4 linked regions of the Saccharomyces cerevisiae S288C genome follow. Changing the gene in region 4 together with the main gene of any one other region gives a genetic interaction. Each region holds a gene or a part of one and is shown on either strand. Other genes may lie near its edges.

Region 1 (5,998 bases), on a different chromosome or scaffold from region 4:
AATTGGGTGAAGCATTAGAACAGTTGCCTCGGCACAACAAATCGGGTAAACGGGTACTACTTACTTCGGTGTACATTGGTACAATAGATAATGAGGCCTTCGTCGGACCAGAGACCGTGGATGAAACTGCGAAAGTAATTGCCGTGTCGCATGGACCTAGTGGATCTAACTATGAATACCTTGCAAAACTGGAGCAAGCGCTAGCGCAAATGCCCATCATGAAAGAGCGAGGGCGTATTACCGATCATTATCTGACTGCTCTATTGGAGACTGTAAATAAATACAGGTGAATGAAATATGTATACATATCTTGATTAACTATGTAAGGTTCTCCTCTTGCTTTTCTACCATCTATATAGTGCGGCGGAAAATGGAAAAATGCGGTTAAGTACCTTTAATGCATGCACAATATATGCAAATTTTATGCAGTTCAAACAGGACGACAAGCAGAGACATAACGACACTATTTTTCCGCTAAAATGAATGAAGACCTGCCCAAGGAATATTTTGAACTAATAAGGAAGGCTCTTAACGAGAAAGAGGCAGAAAAAGCGCCCCTGAGTAGAAGAAGAAGAGTCAGAAGGAAGAACCAGCCCCTACCAGATGCCAAGAAGAAGTTTAAAACAGGGTTGAATGAATTGCCACGAGAAAGCGTTGTTACTGTAAACTTAGATTCTTCAGATGATGGCGTCGTTACGGTACCGACGGATGATAGTGTAGAGGAAATCCAGTCATCTGAAGAAGATTATGATTCGGAGGAATTTGAAGACGTGACAGATGGAAATGAGGTGGCCGGTGTAGAAGATATATCTGTTGAAATTAAGCCCTCTAGTAAAAGGAATAGTGATGCTAGAAGGACAAGCCGCAACGTTTGTTCTAATGAAGAACGGAAAAGGAGAAAATATTTCCACATGTTGTATCTAGTTTGCTTGATGGTTCATGGATTTATACGAAATGAATGGATTAACAGCAAGCGCTTGTCTAGAAAACTGAGCAACTTAGTTCCTGAGAAAGTGTTTGAGCTACTGCATCCTCAGAAAGATGAGGAACTCCCACTTAGGAGTACTAGGAAATTATTAGATGGGTTGAAGAAATGCATGGAGTTATGGCAAAAACACTGGAAGATCACTAAAAAATATGATAATGTGGGACTTTATATGAGAACCTGGAAAGAAATTGAAATGAGCGCCAATAACAAAAGAAAATTCAAGACGTTGAAAAGATCTGACTTTTTAAGGGCCGTCAGTAAAGGTCACGGAGATCCTGATATTTCAGTGCAAGGTTTCGTTGCGATGCTCAGGGCTTGTAATGTTAACGCACGACTTATCATGTCATGTCAACCGCCAGATTTTACCAATATGAAGATTGACACTTCTTTGAATGGAAACAATGCGTACAAAGATATGGTCAAGTATCCGATTTTTTGGTGTGAAGTGTGGGACAAATTCTCTAAGAAATGGATAACTGTTGACCCAGTAAATCTCAAAACCATTGAACAGGTCAGACTTCATTCCAAGTTGGCACCGAAAGGCGTGGCGTGCTGCGAAAGAAATATGTTGAGGTACGTGATTGCTTACGATCGGAAGTATGGCTGTAGAGATGTAACTCGAAGATATGCCCAATGGATGAACTCTAAAGTAAGAAAAAGAAGAATTACTAAAGATGACTTTGGTGAGAAATGGTTCAGAAAAGTGATAACAGCACTTCACCATAGAAAGAGAACCAAAATTGATGATTACGAAGATCAATATTTTTTTCAGAGAGATGAAAGTGAAGGCATACCAGATTCGGTGCAGGATTTGAAAAACCACCCATATTATGTTTTAGAACAAGATATCAAACAGACTCAAATTGTAAAGCCAGGATGTAAAGAGTGTGGATATTTAAAAGTACATGGAAAAGTTGGGAAGGTTTTGAAAGTTTATGCAAAAAGAGATATTGCGGATTTGAAAAGTGCTAGACAATGGTACATGAACGGCCGAATTTTAAAAACTGGTAGCAGGTGTAAAAAGGTGATAAAGAGGACAGTTGGAAGGCCTAAGGGCGAAGCAGAAGAAGAAGATGAAAGATTATATAGCTTTGAAGACACAGAATTATACATCCCTCCATTAGCCAGTGCGAGCGGTGAAATAACCAAGAATACATTTGGAAACATCGAAGTTTTTGCACCAACGATGATACCTGGTAACTGTTGTTTGGTTGAGAATCCTGTGGCAATTAAAGCTGCTAGGTTTTTGGGGGTGGAATTTGCACCTGCTGTAACTTCTTTTAAGTTTGAACGCGGCAGTACAGTTAAGCCAGTTTTAAGTGGCATTGTTGTTGCAAAGTGGCTCAGAGAAGCTATTGAAACCGCTATTGATGGAATAGAGTTTATTCAAGAGGATGATAATAGGAAGGAACATTTGCTTGGTGCTTTGGAGAGTTGGAATACTTTACTGCTAAAACTGCGTATTCGTAGCAAGCTGAACTCCACATATGGTAAAATTGCCGAGGAAGAACCTAACGTTACGAAGGAACAGAATATTGCGGACAATCACGATAATACGGAGACTTTTATGGGAGGTGGGTTCCTACCAGGTATAGCAAACCACGAAGCAAGGCCGTATAGTGAACCTTCAGAGCCAGAAGATAGTTTAGATTATGTTTCTGTTGACAAAGCGGAGGAAAGTGCTACAGACGACGATGTCGGGGAGGATTATTCGGATTTTATGAAAGAACTAGAGATGTCAGAGGAATCAGACTGAAATGAGGCTGAAACGGTTTGAATAATTAGGAAAGTATGTTTTTAATAAAGAAATTCTATGTTCAGGAATTTTGTATATACTTTGTAATGAATGAGAACTTAGTTGGCTTCAAACTTTTTCGTTTAACATGATTATTTTTCTTGTTCGACTAAGATATTCCCACATGGACAAGTGCCACAGATTAATATATGAATACAATAAAATAACTAGTGTAATTTGAAAATAAAAGTTGATGAGAGGGACAGGGACTTGAGTCCTATTCAAAGTGAAATATTTTAGTTATGAGTTTTCTTTCCAAACTTTCCCAAATACGAAAATCAACGACTGCATCAAAAGCCCAAGTGCAAGATCCATTACCCAAGAAGAATGACGAAGAGTATTCCTTGTTACCCAAAAATTACATAAGAGACGAAGATCCTGCAGTAAAAAGATTGAAGGAGCTGAGGCGGCAGGAACTGTTAAAGAATGGTGCTTTGGCTAAAAAAAGTGGTGTAAAACGGAAACGTGGCACCTCATCTGGATCTGAGAAAAAGAAAATAGAAAGGAATGACGATGATGAAGGTGGCCTTGGAATTAGGTTTAAGAGGTCTATTGGAGCAAGTCATGCGCCACTCAAGCCAGTTGTAAGGAAGAAACCTGAACCTATCAAAAAGATGTCATTTGAAGAGCTAATGAAACAAGCGGAAAATAATGAGAAACAGCCCCCAAAAGTTAAGTCATCGGAACCCGTAACTAAGGAACGCCCACATTTTAACAAGCCAGGTTTCAAAAGTTCAAAAAGACCACAAAAGAAAGCATCCCCTGGCGCAACATTGCGTGGAGTATCTTCTGGAGGCAATAGCATAAAATCATCAGACTCACCCAAGCCCGTCAAGCTCAACTTGCCCACAAATGGATTTGCTCAACCTAATAGGAGATTAAAAGAAAAGTTAGAATCTAGAAAACAGAAATCAAGATACCAGGATGACTATGATGAAGAAGATAACGATATGGATGATTTTATAGAAGACGATGAAGATGAAGGTTACCACAGCAAATCGAAACACAGCAATGGTCCCGGATATGATCGTGACGAAATTTGGGCTATGTTCAATAGAGGCAAGAAGCGGTCAGAATACGATTACGATGAGCTTGAGGATGATGATATGGAAGCAAATGAGATGGAAATCTTGGAAGAGGAGGAAATGGCAAGAAAAATGGCAAGGTTAGAGGATAAACGTGAGGAAGCTTGGTTAAAAAAGCATGAAGAGGAGAAGAGACGCCGTAAGAAGGGCATACGCTAAGGAATATTGATATATGTTTTGATATATGGACGTGAAATGACTAATGAAGTCGTAGAGAGTTTGGGAACTGTTTCGAGGCACTGTTTCACTTCTTACATTCATTTTCATACCCTTTGTAATTGCGTTTTCCATTTATCCAGTTTGCCTGTCCGATTTTCAAACGTACAGTGATGATATGCATCAGTTGGGTTAGAACATTTATATTGTGTATCGCCCATAATTCTATAAACTTTACTATGTAAAAATAAAAATGAACCTTCACTATTCTTTCAAGACGGACTGAAAATTTAAAGACTTGGTTGTTGCAGTTGATCGATTATACAAGACTAACAATTCCAGTATCATTTTTGCCTTAATTTGAGACCTTTTTCAACAAGATTCGCGGCAACGTAGTTGTATTTTTTTTTTTCCACAACCCGTTTCCTTACAAAAGCATTCGGAAACTAAACATAAATATGGACCAGCTTTACAAGAGCTATGGTATGTTCATATTATTAGGATATATTAGGTGAGATATTAAAAAATGAAACAAATTGTGTCACCAGTTAGATAGGATTCAAGTAGTCATTAAAATAGAAACAAGCGTTTAGGGTATGCGTTAAAAGAAACTCTAGCAACCTCCAATTGCCAGTGAAAAACTTCCCGAGAAATACTACAACGACAGTGATACATCATACACTTAATAACACTGTAAGGTCCTCAGTTTTTCCAGGTGGAAGGATCAAATACATACCCTTAATCAATATAAGTAAGTCGAAGGAAGAGATTCGAGCAATGCATTAAAATATGATATTTCAACACATTGACTAAAACGGTTGTATATTCTTAGCCCACTGTGTTGTATCTCAAAATGAGATACGTCAGTATGACAATACGTCATCCTAAACGTTCATAAAACACATATGAAACAACCTTATAACAAAACTGTTGGAATAAAAATCCACTATCGTCTATCAACTAATAGTTATATTATCAATATATTATCATATACGGTGTTAAGATGATGACATAAGTTATGAGAAGCTGTCATCGATGTTAGAGGAAGCTGAAACGCAAGGATTGATAATGTAATAGGATCAATGAATATAAACATATAAAACGGAATGAGGAATAATCGTAATATTAGTATGTAGAAATATAGATCCCATTTTGAGGATTCCTATATCCTCGAGGAGAACTTCTAGTATATTCTGTATACCTAATATTATAGCCTTTATCAACAATGGAATCCCAACAATTATCTAATTACCCACATATATCTCATGGTAGCGCCTGTGCTTCGGTTACTTCTAAGGAAGTCCACACAAATCAAGATCCGTTAGACGTTTCAGCTTCCAAAATTCAAGAATATGATAAGGCTTCCACTAAGGCTAACTCTCAACAGACAACAACACCTGCTTCATCAGCTGTTCCAGAGAACCCCCATCATGCCTCTCCTCAACCTGCTTCAGTACCACCTCCACAGAATGGGCCGTACCCACAGCAGTGCATGATGACCCAAAACCAAGCCAATCCATCTGGTTGGTCATTTTACGGACACCCATCTATGATTCCGTATACACCTTATCAAATGTCGCCTATGTACTTTCCACCTGGGCCACAATCACAGTTTCCGCAGTATCCATCATCAGTTGGAACGCCTCTGAGCACTCCATCACCTGAGTCAGGTAATACATTTACTGATTCATCCTCAGCGGACTCTGATATGACATCCACTAAAAAATATGTCAGACCACCACCAATGTTAACCTCACCTAATGATTTTCCAAATTGGGTTAAAACATACATCAAATTTTTACAAAACTCGAATCTCGGTGGTATTATTCCGACAGTAAACGGAAAACCCGTACGTCAGATCACTGATGATGAACTCACCTTCTTGTATAACACTTTTCAAATATTTGCTCCCTCTCAATTCCTACCTACCTGGGTCAAAGACATCCTATCCGTTGATTATACGGATATCATGAA
Region 2 (5,612 bases), on a different chromosome or scaffold from region 4:
AAATTATAATTTGAAGTACAGCGGCGTTAGCGAGGACGATGATGAGATTCCAGAGTTTGAAATACCGACAGAAATGTCGTTAGAGCTGCTACTTGCGGCGGACTATTTGAGTATATAGGTACAGGAAAAACAAAAAAGAGTTAGGAACTCTTTCAAAAAATTATATTATATGGGTGTGATGTTGCAGCATATTACTCTGATATGTAGAAAATTGAATGCATTGTTATAGCGTACTTATGTGTAACCCTTCCACATAACGGAATGCAAGGTATCATTTGGCATCATATATGGGAGGTGCTATTATAAAAACATGTAGTTAATAGCTAAAACAGTTTTCGCCTTCTCTCTTTGAGATGTTACCACATAACTACATGAACTTCTATGTGCAGATATGCCGCATAAAATGTAAGAATCTTGCTTTTTTTATGAACCTATGCCCACAAGAAATGGGCTAAAATCTGTCTGTGCCTTTTCAATTACCCATAAACCACCACCTAGTGTCAACGTCTAGCACCCCTACTCAAACATCTCTGTAAATGAGCTGCTAGTCTGTTTGCGGACACATCCCTGCCACAATTCTCACAGTGAATATACTGAGAGGACTCTTGTTGCTTCTGTAGTCCATTAATATCGAGAGATCCGTTCGGGTCGAAATAATAACTGCGAAGATCCGGATATCTTGTCTTCAGCAATTGTTGTTGAGTGGTTTCCCGAGCTACAATGTCCTGGATCAATGTGGTTAACAGGTTATTCAGTATCCCATTTGAAATAGAATCTATAGTAATAGTTTCTTCGGTCATCGCAACAGGAAAACCCCGTAACCTAAAGAATTTGAAGGATTATTATACTGCTCTGCTCAACGGAAGAAACGCTAAGTTACTTCTTCGATTCCTCAGAATCAAGAAAATAAGCAAATCACTGCTATACATATAATACATGCATCTATTATATAACAATAATCCAAGATACGAAAAGGAAAACTTGATTTTTTTTCTGCGGAAGTTTCAGAGCAGAAAAACTCTGTTACCCTATATTGCGTCATAAATAAGATATAGATAAAACTACCTAGCATACTTTATAATAAAAGGCGACATGAAGGATAGTACGAAGAGATTATTTTAAGACCTTACCGTCAACAATTTCCTTTGGTTCGCCATTGACGGAAACTGGCTTATCCCAGGCCCACATGTTATTGATGAATTCTTTGTCGTCGTCGTTAGTTGGATCCAACTTTGCATAGTCGTAAGATTCCCAATCTGGTGCGACATCGAAAGCTGGAACGTAATCTTGGCCCCTAACCATAACTGCACCAACAATACCGTTGTTGTTGTTTTCACCGTAGACTACCAGACAACCGAACATGTACTTGGTAGAGGCGGACAATCTGTTGAAGAAACCACCGACCAAGTTGTTGGACATGAAAGTCAAAGTCAATTCATCGTTGTACTTGTAGGTGACTTTCCACAGGGAATACTCTTCTGGGTTGTAGTGCTCCCAAAACCAAGGTAAAGCAACTGGTCTGGTGTCTTCATTGGAGTACTTTCTCTTCCAGTCATCCAAAACGAAAGTTGACTTGCCCAATAATTCTAATGGGTGCTTTGGTTTCTTGGAAGAAGTTTCAGTTTCGGTAGCAGCTGGCTTGGCTTCCTCCTTCTTCTTCGAAGCGGCGGGAGCGGCGGCTGGGGCCTTCTTTTCCTTCTTCTTTTGAGGGGGACTCAATGGCTTGTCAGCGAACTTGAAATCCTTGTATTCATCCTTCAAGAAGGGTGAGGCTCTAACGGTGTTGAACCATCTCACGATGGCTGGATGTTGAGCTCTCCATTCAGTACCGAACAGGCTTTCAAAGTATCTGGTGAAAATCGAGGCAGCCACCAAGTCGGCCAAGGAGATGTTTTCCGTAGCCAAATAGGTGTAGTTTTTCAATCTGTTCTCGAAGATGTCGACGATCTTGTCAACAGCGTCCATCGCAGAATCAACGCTCTTCTTGTTGTAGGGGGCGCCGCCCTTCAAGGGAACGATGGTGTTGGCAATCTGGATGCACAGATCACTGTTGGCCAAAGATTGCCATCTGATGATTTGCGCTTGGGCATTTAAGTCATCGTCGGCACCTAAAAGTTGAGTCTTCATCTTGTCGTCCTGTGAAAGCTTTACTAAATAATAGTTAATCGCCATTGCCTCGGTTAGCTTGTAACCCTTTGGACCCACGAAAGCCGGAACCTTCTTCAAGGGAAAGTCCCTTGCGAACTGTTCAGCGGCGGCATCTGGCGTAACAACCTTAACGTCCAGCTTCAAAGCCTTGACAAGACCTCTTGGGACCCAAGTTCTAATTCTGAAGTTAGCATATAAAGTACCTTGAGACATGGCGTGCAAAAACTGTATCTGATCTTGAGTTTCTATGTTCTGTATGCTCTAATAACAGAAAATACAATAACAAGGAGGGAAGACCAATTTGCGGGCTGCCAAGCAACACAACCAAACCCTGCTGATAAACGAAAACAAGAAAACTAATAAAAAAATAAATAAGGAACTCTACAAGGACTACACTAATCATGTCTCACTCCCGCGGATTGAAAAAACGAAAGAAAAAAACAGGAATCAACGCCCAACGACCTGCAGCAGCAAGCGTGAGAAATTCCCCGAGTGGGTCACCGCGAGCGGAAGATGAAACAAGCAGCAGTCGGCTTGCACAGGCCTTGCATGTATGCGTTGGTGGGCCTTGGGCTTTACTTATAAGCAGCTGCTTCGCCACTTGATACGGTTGTTCTTTACATCTGTTTCTCGCTGGGGGAAGTTTATTAGGTTTAGTTTTTCCGCTTTGTGCTTTGCGTTTTTTTAGCTTATACAGAAGAAACGCACTTAAAAAGAATCAAATCAGTAACAAATTTTGGTATTGTTTCTCAAAGAAGAAAATAGAAAGTGAGAATGGCCGTATCAGCCCGTTTGAGAACGACTGCCGAGGATACATCCATTGCTAAATCAACACAAGATCCAATTGGTGATACAGAAATCAGTGTAGCAAATGCTAAGGGCAGCAGCGATAGCAACATTAAGAATTCGCCAGGCGGAAACAGCGTTGGTCAGGAGTCGGAGCTAGAGCATGTCCCTGAGGAGGATGACTCTGGTGACAAGGAAGCAGATCATGAGGATTCTGAGACAGCCACTGCGAAGAAGAGGAAAGCCCAACCATTGAAGAATCCGAAGAAATCATTGAAGAGGGGCAGAGTCCCGGCGCCTTTGAATTTATCGGATAGCAACACTAATACACACGGTGGTAATATTAAGGACGGCAACTTGGCTTCGTCTAACTCTGCACATTTTCCTCCTGTTGCTAATCAAAACGTGAAAAGCGCGCCCGCACAAGTTACTCAGCATTCCAAGTTCCAGCCCCGTGTCCAATACTTGGGAAAGGCCAGTTCTAGACAATCTATACAAGTGAATAATAGCAGCAATAGTTATGGGAAACCACACATGCCCTCGGCGGGCATCATGAGCGCCATGAACCCTTACATGCCCATGAATCGCTACATAATGTCACCATATTATAATCCGTACGGTATCCCTCCACCTCACATGCTGAACAAGCCCATAATGACACCCTACGTGTCGTATCCATATCCAATGGGACCGCGGACCTCCATTCCTTATGCTATGCAAGGTGGCAACGCTAGGCCCTACGAAGAAAATGAGTATAGTGCTAGCAATTACAGAAACAAGAGGGTTAACGACTCATATGATTCGCCTTTGAGTGGCACCGCTTCCACTGGGAAAACCAGACGATCCGAGGAAGGCTCAAGAAATTCTAGCGTAGGATCAAGTGCGAATGCCGGTCCTACGCAACAGCGCGCGGATCTACGCCCAGCAGATATGATACCTGCTGAAGAATACCACTTTGAACGGGATGCATTACTCTCGGCCAACACGAAAGCCAGAAGCGCAAGCACAAGCACAAGTACAAGCACAAGCACAAACCGGGACAGGAGTTCATGGCATGAGGCAGAACCCAATAAAGACGAAGAAGAGGGTACGGACTTGGCCATCGAGGACGGAGCGGTCCCCACTCCCACTTTTACTACGTTCCAGCGGACCTCGCAGCCGCAGCAGCAATCACCTAGTCTTCTTCAAGGCGAAATCCGACTCTCATCGCATATTTTTGCCTTCGAGTTCCCCCTGAGCTCTAGCAATGTAGACAAGAAAATGTTTATGAGCATATGTAATAAAGTATGGAATGAATCAAAGGAGCTGACAAAAAAATCATCATCACATCACAGAACCGGAAAATAGTAGCCACACAGGCACTTATAAACTTACATACACTCGCATACACTCACCTACTCACACACGCACTCACACACACACTCTCACTCGCACACCAAGGACAATTCAGTACATACACAATTTTTATATAAGTTTGATAAACTAAAAGATGAGGGTGAGTATTCACCTTATTAATAGTTACAGCCTTTATCGTCACTAGACACGACAGCATTGGTTTGTCTTTTTTTTTTTTTTTTTTTTTTCCTTTCCATCGTTGTAGCGGATTTGGCGTTGAAGTATTTTGATATAAGTAAAACAGAACACCAAATCAAGAATAATAAAGGAGGAAAAGTCGTCAACCAAGCGGATTCTCAATTGGTAGAAAAGCTTTTATTATTTTCTGTTAGCCGCTCTTGGGACCCGTTATTTCTGAACCTATTTTTCCTTCCGCACTTTGTGAAAGTAAGAAGAGAATAGCATCAATTTTAGTATTTTTCAAACAGAAGAATTTAAAAGAGCTAGAATAAAAAGTTAGGAAACAATGTCACTTTCTCTTGTATCGTACCGCCTAAGAAAGAACCCGTGGGTTAACATTTTTCTACCTGTTTTGGCCATATTTCTAATATATATAATTTTTTTCCAGAGAGATCAATCTCTGTTGGGACTTAATGGCCAGTCCATTTCCCAACACAAATGGGCACACGAAAAGGAAAACACATTTTATTTTCCCTTCACCAAGAAATACAAAATGCCAAAGTACTCTTATAAGAAAAAAAGCGGCTGGTTGTTCAACGATCACGTGGAAGATATTATCCCAGAAGGTCATATTGCACATTATGATTTGAACAAATTGCACTCTACGTCAGAAGCAGCTGTCAATAAGGAGCATATTTTGATATTGACTCCAATGCAAACATTTCATCAACAATACTGGGACAATTTGCTGCAGCTAAATTACCCTCGGGAATTGATTGAATTGGGGTTCATTACACCAAGAACAGCCACTGGTGACTTGGCCTTAAAGAAATTGGAGAATGCTATTAAAAAGGTTCAAACGGACAAGAAAACTCAAAGATTTAGTAAAATTACTATTTTGCGACAGAATTCCCAGAGTTTTGATAAGTTGATGGAGAAGGAAAGACACGCTTTAGATGTTCAAAAGGAAAGACGTGCAGCAATGGCTTTGGCGCGCAATGAATTACTATTCTCCACCATAGGACCTCACACTTCTTGGGTGCTGTGGCTAGATGCCGATATTATAGAGACACCACCATCTTTAATTCAAGACATGACCAAACACAACAAAGCTATCTTAGCTGCAAACATTTATCAAAGATTTTACGATGAAGAGAAGAAGC
Region 3 (3,460 bases), on a different chromosome or scaffold from region 4:
CAAGGACGCCAAAGACGGATATTCTTGGAAGTCTCCTTGCTAAGAAAAGAAAATAGTTGTACTTGATCCCTATATTATATTATATCCTATTTATAACCAAGGGCTTGCCTTCGCGAACAACAAGGTATGCCATTTTGAGAGGAGCAAATTTGCATTCTAAATTCATGATAATGATATGTTCTTTAATTATTACTATATATAAACTCACTTAGTTTTCCAGCCTTTGCTCTTTTGTTCGTATAGCAAGGAATGAAAAAAAAAAATCCTGAATAAACGTCATAGTAATTTTCTTCCTTAGTTAGATACAAAGGATTTTGAAATACAGTATATGCACAATCGCAACTCATTAAGAGCATAGGAAAGTATTCAATTTAAAGAAAAACATGATGGAAACGATGATATAGAAAAAAGAACGGAAGCAAGCGTTAACTGTGATAGGAATATGCATAGCTTTTTCTTCTTTTTTGTTTTATTATTATTGTTGAATGCTATTTGCTGAATCAATTTACTTGACGAATGGTGTAGAATAATAAATATGCCTGTTCCTTTAAAACCTCTTCTTGAGATATAGAGGAGACCATGGAATCATTGAATTTAAACCATTGCCCTCCAGAAATTTTACAAAATGCAATATAATGTCCCTCATTAACCGTCCCCTTGTGGGAAACAATACCGATTAATTCGTAAATAATGTCTGGAACCTTGCCATTTTCAGAATGCTTATCTTTTTCCTTCGTTGAACAGTAATTTTTCATATTTAAATAAGTTGGAAATTCAATAAAATCGTCTAGTTTTCTGTTACTTCCATTAAGTAGGTGTTCGAATCTTTTCAATTGCAAAACCAAAACCGATGGTAATTTGTGTATGCCTAGTTGCTTTATTGCATCTTGAGTGCTGTTACACTCCCCACAATGATAGTTGAAATCCTTCAACTGTTCTTTTTTATGGAAACTGTCAAGACATTCATAAAGTTTTTTCTTATCCTTGATATCCAGAGAAAGATCCAAGAATGGATCAATGGTTGTCTTTGAATTATTTTGACAGCCTGGACACACAATAGAACTTTCCAAGGAGCCCTCAAACACAGTATGCACTATGCATTCACACTGCTTATTATTTGCTCTGCTGACTTCCTTGGCATTTGGCAAATCAAGAACATAGCTTTGGTGGATTTGGTTAATTATAAACTGCCAAAATTCATGAGCATCTTGTTGTGAATACCCTGCTAGATTTTGATTGATTTTCCAGGCACAAGTTAAAAGATATATGAATCCGGTTTGCCGATTAGTAGATGTAGATGACGAAGAAGCTTGCTTTGTATTCAGCGCTCCATAAAGTTCATGAACAATTTTATCGAGTGCACATGAAAAACATTTATCTGGAGAACGCACTTTACAATTATTAGAATGAATTTGACTCATTGAGTGCCTAATAAAGTAAGGGTTATGGATTAGACATTGGAGAATACTACTCATGAAACAAGTGGATCCCATGTTGATCAGGCCAGAAAGCCCATCTCTTCTTTCCATGCTAGGAACCATGGTCTTTGTGCACACGTCGTCCCAATACTTCGCTAGGATAGCATCGTTAATCAGATCGATATTCCCTATATAGTCCTCACATTTGAAGCAAAATAAAAGGCCATTATTTGAGTTGATACCAAATATGTGACCAATCTGTTTACTGTGAGAGAGAAAATGCGAATGGTTCCAACATCCACAAAATCCACATTGTAGACACATGAAAGTTGCACCAGAGTTTATTTCGTGGCATGTACCACATTTCATGGTGTTTAAGAATTTTTCCTTGGGTACGGAATGATTTAATATATACCTGGCAGCATTGCACGTTTTTAGAACCCCATCTTTAGACTTTTCATTCTGAAATACTTGCTGTATATGTGGACAAATGCTCATAATTATTAATAACAAATAAAAAAAGCAGGGTTTCAAGTAGGACGACGAGGACCGAAGCTGTAGTTTTCCCTTTTGATCCGATCAATAAATAGTATTCAAAATTATGACAGCCAGTTGAAAGAAATGGACTAACTGGTCTCAAAAGAAAACCTTTATTATTATCCGTAAAATATCTTTTTAGAATTAATCAGGTCCACTAATATAATCCCTTTGCTATTACGACAGCTTTCTAGCCCATATACAATATAAATTATTGATGCTTTTTACACACTATAATCGAGGATTTTTTTTCACTTGAAAAATTCAAAGAAAAGCAAAAAAAGGAAGAATAGAGAAGAAAAAAAAGGTATAAGTGAAGAAAGAATGTGCAATACTACAAGACTATAAGATTTAATAGCTGTAACCATGACGAAGAATGTATTGATGTTACATGGGCTTGCGCAGTCAGGTGACTACTTTGCCTCTAAGACAAAGGGGTTTCGCGCCGAAATGGAAAAGTTAGGATATAAACTCTACTATCCAACAGCACCCAATGAATTTCCCCCAGCTGATGTTCCTGATTTCTTGGGTGAGGTAATTGCTGATGCACCTGGGGATGGTGAGAATACCGGTGTGCTTGCGTGGCTAGAGAATGACCCTTCCACCGGTGGCTATTTCATACCGCAGACGACAATCGACTATTTACACAATTATGTCCTTGAAAATGGTCCATTTGCAGGTATTGTAGGATTTAGTCAAGGAGCCGGTGTAGCTGGATACCTAGCAACGGATTTCAATGGTTTGTTGGGCCTTACAACAGAAGAACAGCCGCCGCTAGAATTTTTCATGGCGGTCAGTGGTTTCAGGTTCCAACCACAACAGTATCAAGAACAGTACGACCTGCATCCAATATCGGTCCCATCTCTACATGTTCAAGGAGAACTTGACACTATCACAGAGCCGGCCAAAGTGCAAGGCCTATATAACTCTTGTACGGAAGACTCTCGCACTTTACTAATGCACTCTGGGGGCCACTTTGTGCCGAACTCAAGAGGGTTTGTGAGAAAAGTGGCTCAATGGCTCCAGCAGTTGACCTGAGGCAAGTATATATAGCACGTAATCTTCACATAATCTTCACATACATATTTATACATGATTAAATCCTCCGGGTAATAATACGTCAAATTAACTTAACTACCGATACGATGCTTCATTATGATAACGATAACAATGGCATCTATAAATGATTTTATTCCTCGTTAGGCCAGTATTAGGGCAGTAAAGACTGTAATGACCAGTACAAGAACGTTGAGATACGCACAGGTTGCCTGTGCTTGTATCTGGTGTCTTTTTTCAGCTGGTATTATCTTTGGATTTGCTGCTTTGAAACCTATTTTAATTTCAGAAGGTGTATACCATGAATTGTGTGATCCTAAGGATGGTGATAGATTATTATGTACTGCACAGGATCTGAAATTAAATTTTATATTTGCTCTCAGTGCTACTGTAACAAACATCATGGCCCTTCCTGTCGGTAAGATTTTGGATATGTATGGACCTCGTGT
Region 4 (7,284 bases):
GTTTTGTTTGTTCATTTACTTTAGCGTTTAGTTGATAAGTCCTGTTATCCTCTTCTTTTATTTCATTTCTTCATTTACTTAACTGCGAGAAGATTATAATAGCATGTCAGGTTCTTTCTGGAAGTTTGGTCAGGATTACTCGATAGAGTCACCGGTTTCTAAGATTCTAAATAGTGCCTTTATTAAAATCAATAAGGACCAAGATGACGACGTACCTACCGGCACATGTGAAGAAAATATTGCTGATGACGAAGATAACTCTTCACATGACTACGCTGCTTCTGAAGATAATGTAGTTAACGAGAACGAAGAGAAGGAAGAAGAAAATACTCTGCCCACTACAGAATCGGAATATGAAAATTATAGACCTAATTTGGACGTCTTAGACGATTTGCTGGATGATGACGAACTGTATACGGAATTAATGTGTTCAAATTTCAAGCTACTAATATTCTTGAAGTATCCTGATGTTTTATCAAAATTGATAGAATATGTTACCAACGAGAAGATTCTCGACGAAGAAACAGATAGCGCTAAAAAGCCAGAGATTATTGAAGGTGTAAACGATCATCCTATTTTGATAGAAAGAGACAGAAAGGATAAAAAGGAGGACGCTGAAGAAGGAGGCGACTCAGAAGAAACTACAAATGATAGCGATCATGACTCTGGGGACGAAAGAAGTGTTGATTCTGAAGAGACAAGCATTACTTTGCCACCGGAATCTGAGGAACAAGTGGAGACTAGAAGGGCAAGGATAGCTGCTGAAATTTTATCGGCTGATGTATGGCCTATATCCGCAGCAATAATGCAAAATAAGGATCTTCTTGGTAGATTGTGGTCGATACTAGATCACCCAGCTCCCTTACCGATACCAGCTTCCACCTACTTCATGAAAATAAATGAAAGACTTCTCGATATGGATATAACGGGGATGTTAGAGTTTATATTAAGCCGAGACAGCTTGGTTGCAAGGTTCTTGACACATGTTGACAATCCGTCTTTGATGGACTTCCTTTTGAAAGTTATCTCGACGGATAAACCTGACTCTCCCACGGGTGTCATAAAGATACTAAAATCACAGGAATTAATACCTAAACTTTTAGATCATCTTAATCCAGAATACGGTATTTCCACTCAGTCTGCGGCAGGCGATTTTATTAAGGCATTCGTCACGTTAAGCACTAACTCAAGCAATGAACTTGCTTCGGGAATAGGTCCTAATGAATTGACAAGGCAATTAGTATCAGAAGAAATGATAGAAAAGTTGATTAAGATAATGCTAAAGGGCGGTACATCCTTAAGTAATGGTGTTGGAATTATCATAGAGTTGATCAGGAAGAATAACTCAGATTATGATTTCATCCAACTAGTCTACACTACCCTAGAAAGTCACCCTCCCACTGATCGAGATCCAATTCACTTGATACATTTAGTCAAACTTTTTGCTAAGCATATGCCTGATTTTGCTGATATGCTGGATAAAACCAAGTTGCCACTAATGGAAATGCCATTCGGTAATATTGAACCTCTGGGATTTGAGAGGTTTAAAATCTGTGAACTTATTGCAGAACTATTGCACTGTTCTAATATGACGCTGCTAAATGAGCCCAATGGTGAGATGATTGCCCAAGAACGTGATATAGAAAGGGCCAAAGAATTAGAAACTTCAACCGAAAAGGAAAATATAACAGCTATTGTGGACAATAAATCATCATATTATGATAAGGATTGCGTAGAGAAGGATATCACAGAAAATTTAGGCGCTCTTCAAATAAATAATCAAGGAAGTGAAGAAGATGAATTAAATGATACTGGGGTATCAAGTGTAAAACTAGATGTGAAATCAGACGCAAAGGTAGTTGAGGGGCTAGAAAATGATGCTTCTGGAGTAGAGTTGTATGATGAAACCTTGTCTGACACAGAATCCGTGAGAGAATGCCTAAGGGAAAAACCGCTAGTTGGAGACAGGCTGAAGATTGCTCTAGAAGACACTAAGATACTGATTAGTATCCTTGATATGTTCACTGAGTTCCCTTGGAATAATTTTTTGCATAATGTAATTTTTGATATTGCCCAGCAAATATTCAATGGTCCCCTCAAAACTGGTTATAATAGGTTCCTCTTGAAAGATTATTTGGTTGATGCATACCTAACTAAAAAGATAGTAGATGCGGATAAGGCATGTCAAGACTATGAAAAAAAGACCGGTTTACGTTATGGTTATATGGGTCATTTGACATTAGTTGCCGAAGAAATATCGAAGTTCAAAGAGTATATTGATGAAATGAAGCTAACTTTTTGCAATACCGCTGTTTCAGATCGACTTGAGGAACCATTTTGGAAAGAATATAGTGAAACGATCTTGGCTGATACAAGAGAGAAGTATAACACCGTTTTGGGAGATTTTGGCAATGACCAAGAAAGCGATGACGATGTTATTAGGAATTCTGATTCTGAGGATATAATTGGTGATACAGAGGGCAACGAAAACTACGGAAATGGAGAAAACGATGAACTTCTTAGTAACGGGCATGATTCTGGGAACATGGATTTATATTATAACTTCAATAATAACGAGAATGAAGAAAATGAAGAAGATTACGCAGAGTATAGTGATGTGGATAATAAAAATTACTATAATAACGTCGAGACTAACGACGATGATTATGATAGTGATGATGGTAAATCCAAAAGTGCCGAATCAGAGTTTACCGATAAAATATCTGAACATAGGGATGGCAATAGTCTCTATAATGAGGACAATGATGAAAACGGGAGTGACAAATGGACATCGGGTACTTCATTGTTCCCTCCAGACCATTTTCCTAGTAGGTCACAACCTTCAGATCCTAAACTGCAAGACCAGAATATTTTTCACCATCAGTTTGACTTTGAAGGTGTTGGCGATGACGATGACTATATGGATCCTAATGATGATGGCCAGTCATATGCCAGACCTGGTAATCCATTGTATACTACCCCGAAAACACCACCAAGACCGAAGACTATTCTTTTCAATTCTTTATCCGCATTGGATAATAATGGCGAAGACGAAGAAGTGGCACTAGGCACCAGTGTTGATGATCGAATGGATAACGAGATATCAAGCGATGAAGAAGACTCCGAAGATGAAGATGAAGAGAATGATATGGGCAATGAGGAGGGCTACTCATTATATAGGTCAAGAAGTAAAGAAGCTTTCTGAACTAAAACATTCACATTGTCACATTTTCACCCTTTATTCATCAATTTTTTATTGCTCCACTTTTTTCGCATATAGGTCATTTATAATTCATCAAATATATACTTTTTTAATTGAGGCTTGTAATTTAATATTAACCGAATATAATCTTATAAAGAATAATGAATATTCACTTTTGAATATACTTAAGTTTATATAGGTGTAAGAAGGAAATGTCCATGTTTATTTCAGTAGTTTTTTTCTGTAATCCGCAAAGCTTAATTTCTTTTTCGAATGCAGTTGTGAGGACGAAAAATCTGATAAGTGCATTATACTTTCTGGAGTGGATTCTCGCCTTGAATTAACCGAAGCTTCTGTCATGATTTCTTTTGTTTTTGCTTGACTGTGTTGTGCTTCCTTTGACAGTTCTTTATTGAAATTTGAAAGAGAAGGGGTTCTACTTAATTTATGTTCATTCTTTGATTGACTCTCTTCGACATCGTTTGCAGTTTGCCTTGACGTCTTGTTTATTGGTAAAAGAACTGGAATTGGTAATTCTTCAATATTGGTAATGTGTGATTCGTCATAATCTGTGCTCTTCGTAATTATTAAAGGTTTTTCTGAAGTTTCATTTTTTTTGGGAACAGAAATATTAGAAGAATGTTGTGCAAATAAGGCGAATTTGAAGGGTTTTGCAATATCATCAGGATTATTTGTACTATCAATAGTATTCTTTTGAGGAATTTTTGGACCATTATTTCGATTAAGGAATTTTTGTCGATAAAAATTATTCAAAAGTATTGGAGCTCTTTCTATAGTATTTTGAGCCTTTTCTTCTAGCCTATGCAAAATTGGTGGCTCACGTCTCTTTTTGCAATTATATTGGTTGAGAATTTCATTTAATTTATATCTGTTGTTCATTTTTCCTCTGGATTTCACAGATTTATAAAGACTTTGCGCGTATCTCTTCACTTTCAATAAATAACAATCTTTAGAATTATTTCCACAGCCGCATTCGCCGTTACTCAAAATTGTTTCTACCGAATTTATCAGCCCATACCTTTCAAGGTCATCTAAAGAGTCTATTGTCATGCCCTTTATTAATTTTAATATAGGATGTTTTGAATCCCACTGCCATTTGATGTATAACTCCTCATCCTCTGAAATATCTCTCAAAGCTCTTAAAACAAATTTTATTCTACTTGATTTTCTTCCACTGCTTTTGTCATTCCTATTGTCTGTATCTTGCAGTTTTATAGTTACTAATTCAACATTCGGCTGGCAACTTCTTCTCAAATACCTAGTTGAATTGCCTGATAAGCGTGCATCTATATATATCGGCCAATGGGAATGGAAAATGACCCTTCTTTTAGCTGTACCCCATATCCTGTAATGGTTTCGTGGGTCAGTGAGATAATTTTTATAGAAGTCCAATTCGCCTAAAATTTCTTGAATGAAATCACCTTTTATGCAGTCCTTTTTGAGATAAACTCCTAATTTCGTGAAGCCTGGGTAAGTCCTGGAATATGCAATGTCAGCATACGGTTTGACTTCAATTGACACAGATTTAAAGGTCTTATGAGGATATTGTATGACCCAATTATCATCCATATGTTTATTTAAGAACGGTTCGATCAGATCACTTTTAAACACATTGTCTTTCAAGGGCAAGTATATTGCACCATATGCGTCTTTTGCACTCAGGAAATGCTCTTTTTTCTTGGGCATAGAAGTCAATCCATCGGAAGAATTGACAGAAGCGCTTTCGTTTTTGGAGTCTATACTATTATTTGATGGGTTTCTTTTCCTTCTTTTGTCCCTGTGGTTAGTATTGTCCTGATCCGTTGAAAAGCTATCGCCAACGTCACTAATAGTTGTACTCGATGCTCTGTCCCGACCGTTATTCTTATTACTAGCACTATTGTTTGATGAAGAAGGTTCTACTGTTTTTACGTTTATGCGTTCCTGCTGTATTTTCCTAGCCAAGTTAATGTCTACCTCTCTTGGATCACATGAGTTGCAAAGGTAATCATCAGGTGCCATCCCAATATCTTTGATGCCATAGCAAATAGCATGCTGCCATCTGTTGCAGTGGTCACATTGGATAGTGAATCCATCATCATCATTTAAATCACATATACATGTAATTATACCCGCGTCAGGATCGACTATATACGAATCAGGTACCGGCCATTGAGGTTGCTTTTGAGGTTGATTTTCGGTCTCTTCTTTTGCTGCCGTGGATGTTGCTGCTTCTGCCGCCGATTGCTCAGTAGCTTTCTTTAAAGGTAAAGAAACTGTGGATGCTGTAGCCAGTGCTGCTGCTGCCATTTCTATTGCTCCTTTTTTTTCTCTCTCATGAGACTCATCATGCTCAATAGTATCTGTTTTAGAGCCTATTTTTGAAGCTTCTTCAGCTCTTTTTTTCCCTTTTGAAAACAATAACAATGTGGATGCATCATCTAGGAGCGACTGCTCTTTGGAATTAGGTACTGACATGATTCAGTTCTCGTATTTTGTGAAGTACGATCTAAAACTGTTGTATATACGCTTTAAATCATGTTTACTAGAAAGGTCCTTTATTACTACTTTCTGTATATAGCATGTCGTTGATAATGATATGCATCTATCATGACATAGTAAGATGAATGAGTTGGTTGAACAATTTCCAGGGAAACAAAGGACTAGTTTCATGTCTTTAATGTTTTTTTACGAATAATATACCATGCTATAAAAGTATTATAATAAAAGGTATCGACTACCTGTAATCTAGAATGATAATTTCATACAACGATCACTTCCAACGGTTAAATAATTACCAATAGACCTTACTAGAATATTAAACTTAACAGGTTTAAATTTTGTTGAAATAACTGCAAAAAGCCAGAAAGAAACAGATTTGCACTATAATTTTTCGATTGCCACTACTTAGTCAACGGATTTATCAATGTCATATTTGCCGACTTATTCCAACGACTTGCCAGCAGGCCCGCAAGGCCAGAGGAGGCGTAATAATGGTAATGAAAACGATGCAAGACAAGGCTACGGTCAGCAATCTGTGCCGATGGTAATCAGGAGGCTTTTCAAAACGCCAAAGAATTTAGATCTCGAGACAGCCAGCTGGGAAATGTTCCATTTGATTTTCCATCCAAGAAAAGCTTATAGATCAATATATTATCAGCGACAGACGAAAAATCAGTGGGCGAGAGATGATCCTTCCTTTTTCATCTTCCAAATAGCCTTAATTTCACTCAGTTCTATTATTTGGTCGATTTATAATTCAGGTTTCAACAACGACAGTGATATGGGGGCCTTGAGCATTATAGGTCATTTTTTCAAAAGTTTGGTAATGATGGTGATTTTAGATTTTTTCATATTTGGATTTATTATGGCAACTATTTTTTACCTTTTGTTGAATAGGTCACATTTTAAATTCAAATCGAGCCAAAATAGTGTGGTAGAGTGGGCTTATTGTTTCGACGTTCATTGTAATTCATTTTTAATCATCCTACTGTGCCTATACTTCATTCAGTTTTTACTACTGCCCATAATTAATTTACAAAACTGGATTTCCTTACTCATTGGTAATTCGTTATATTGTTTTGCTATTGGCCATTACTTTATTTTAACCTTTTATGGATACAACCAGTTGCCATTCTTGAAAAATTTGAACTTTATACTTTTACCAACATTAGGATTATCGATAATCTATTTAATCAGTTTATTTGGCATCGACTTATCCAAGAAATTAAGCTTTTACAATTATTAAGCAATTGAACACGGAAATAGAAAAAATTTGGTTCTTTAAGATAAAGCACATAAATTACATAATGATATTATTATTATATATATTTGAAGTATAAAAATGCAATGAGTAATAAGAGCAATAATGACACTATGGACCAAAAGAATGCATAATGAAAACTGTTTATGTATCAGCGTCGAATGCTTATAACAGATAAAAGGAAAATACAGGTAATGGTGTGTTCCTGGTCGTTTTTATATTCCCTTAATTGTAGATTTCCATTGGAGAAAGTCTATCCGAGTTAAAAATCCAATTTCTACTCTCAACTTCTTTAGCTAACCATTCGGTTGGGAAAATG

What was found.
Region 1: mutations in SET3 (region 4) and SPT2 together harm fitness more than expected from each alone (negative genetic interaction), as found in Saccharomyces cerevisiae (4 studies listed by BioGRID, with this or other methods).
Region 2: mutations in SET3 (region 4) and SGF11 together harm fitness less than expected from each alone (positive genetic interaction), as found in Saccharomyces cerevisiae (6 studies listed by BioGRID, with this or other methods).
Region 3: mutations in SET3 (region 4) and UBP8 together harm fitness less than expected from each alone (positive genetic interaction), as found in Saccharomyces cerevisiae (5 studies listed by BioGRID, with this or other methods).

What each region holds. Positions count from the first base shown.
Region 1 is NC_001137.3:497,376-503,373, reverse strand, and holds SPT2 (Spt2p), read left to right. Parts: upstream 1-3,025; coding exon 3,026-4,027; downstream 4,028-5,998. Other genes in the region: GCG1 (gamma-glutamylcyclotransferase), read left to right, coding at 1-290; RAD4 (Rad4p), read left to right, coding at 480-2,744; YER159C-A (gag protein), read left to right, coding at 5,250-5,998. UniProt on the Saccharomyces cerevisiae protein: Histone chaperone that stabilizes pre-existing histone tetramers and regulates replication-independent histone exchange on chromatin.
Region 2 is NC_001148.4:461,150-466,761, reverse strand, and holds SGF11 (SAGA histone acetyltransferase complex subunit SGF11), read right to left. Parts: upstream 801-5,612; coding exon 501-800; downstream 1-500. Other genes in the region: ELC1 (elongin C), read left to right, coding at 1-118; CAM1 (translation elongation factor EF1B gamma), read right to left, coding at 1,114-2,361; DIG1 (Dig1p), read left to right, coding at 2,923-4,281; mannosyltransferase complex subunit MNN9, read left to right, coding at 4,796-5,612. UniProt on the Saccharomyces cerevisiae protein: Component of the transcription coactivator SAGA complex. SAGA acts as a general cofactor required for essentially all RNA polymerase II transcription. At the promoters, SAGA is required for transcription pre-initiation complex (PIC) recruitment.
Region 3 is NC_001145.3:715,171-718,630, reverse strand, and holds UBP8 (ubiquitin-specific protease UBP8), read right to left. Parts: upstream 1,917-3,460; coding exon 501-1,916; downstream 1-500. Other genes in the region: MRE11 (MRX complex nuclease subunit), read left to right, coding at 1-56; FSH2 (putative serine hydrolase), read left to right, coding at 2,322-2,993; FMP42 (Fmp42p), read left to right, coding at 3,186-3,460. UniProt on the Saccharomyces cerevisiae protein: Histone deubiquitinating enzyme component of the transcription coactivator SAGA complex. SAGA acts as a general cofactor required for essentially all RNA polymerase II transcription.
Region 4 is NC_001143.9:494,154-501,437, forward strand, and holds SET3 (histone-binding protein SET3), read right to left. Parts: upstream 5,681-7,284; coding exon 3,425-5,680; downstream 1-3,424. Other genes in the region: SAP190 (Sap190p), read left to right, coding at 104-3,205; GMH1 (Gmh1p), read left to right, coding at 6,129-6,950; SPO14 (phospholipase D), read right to left, coding at 7,191-7,284.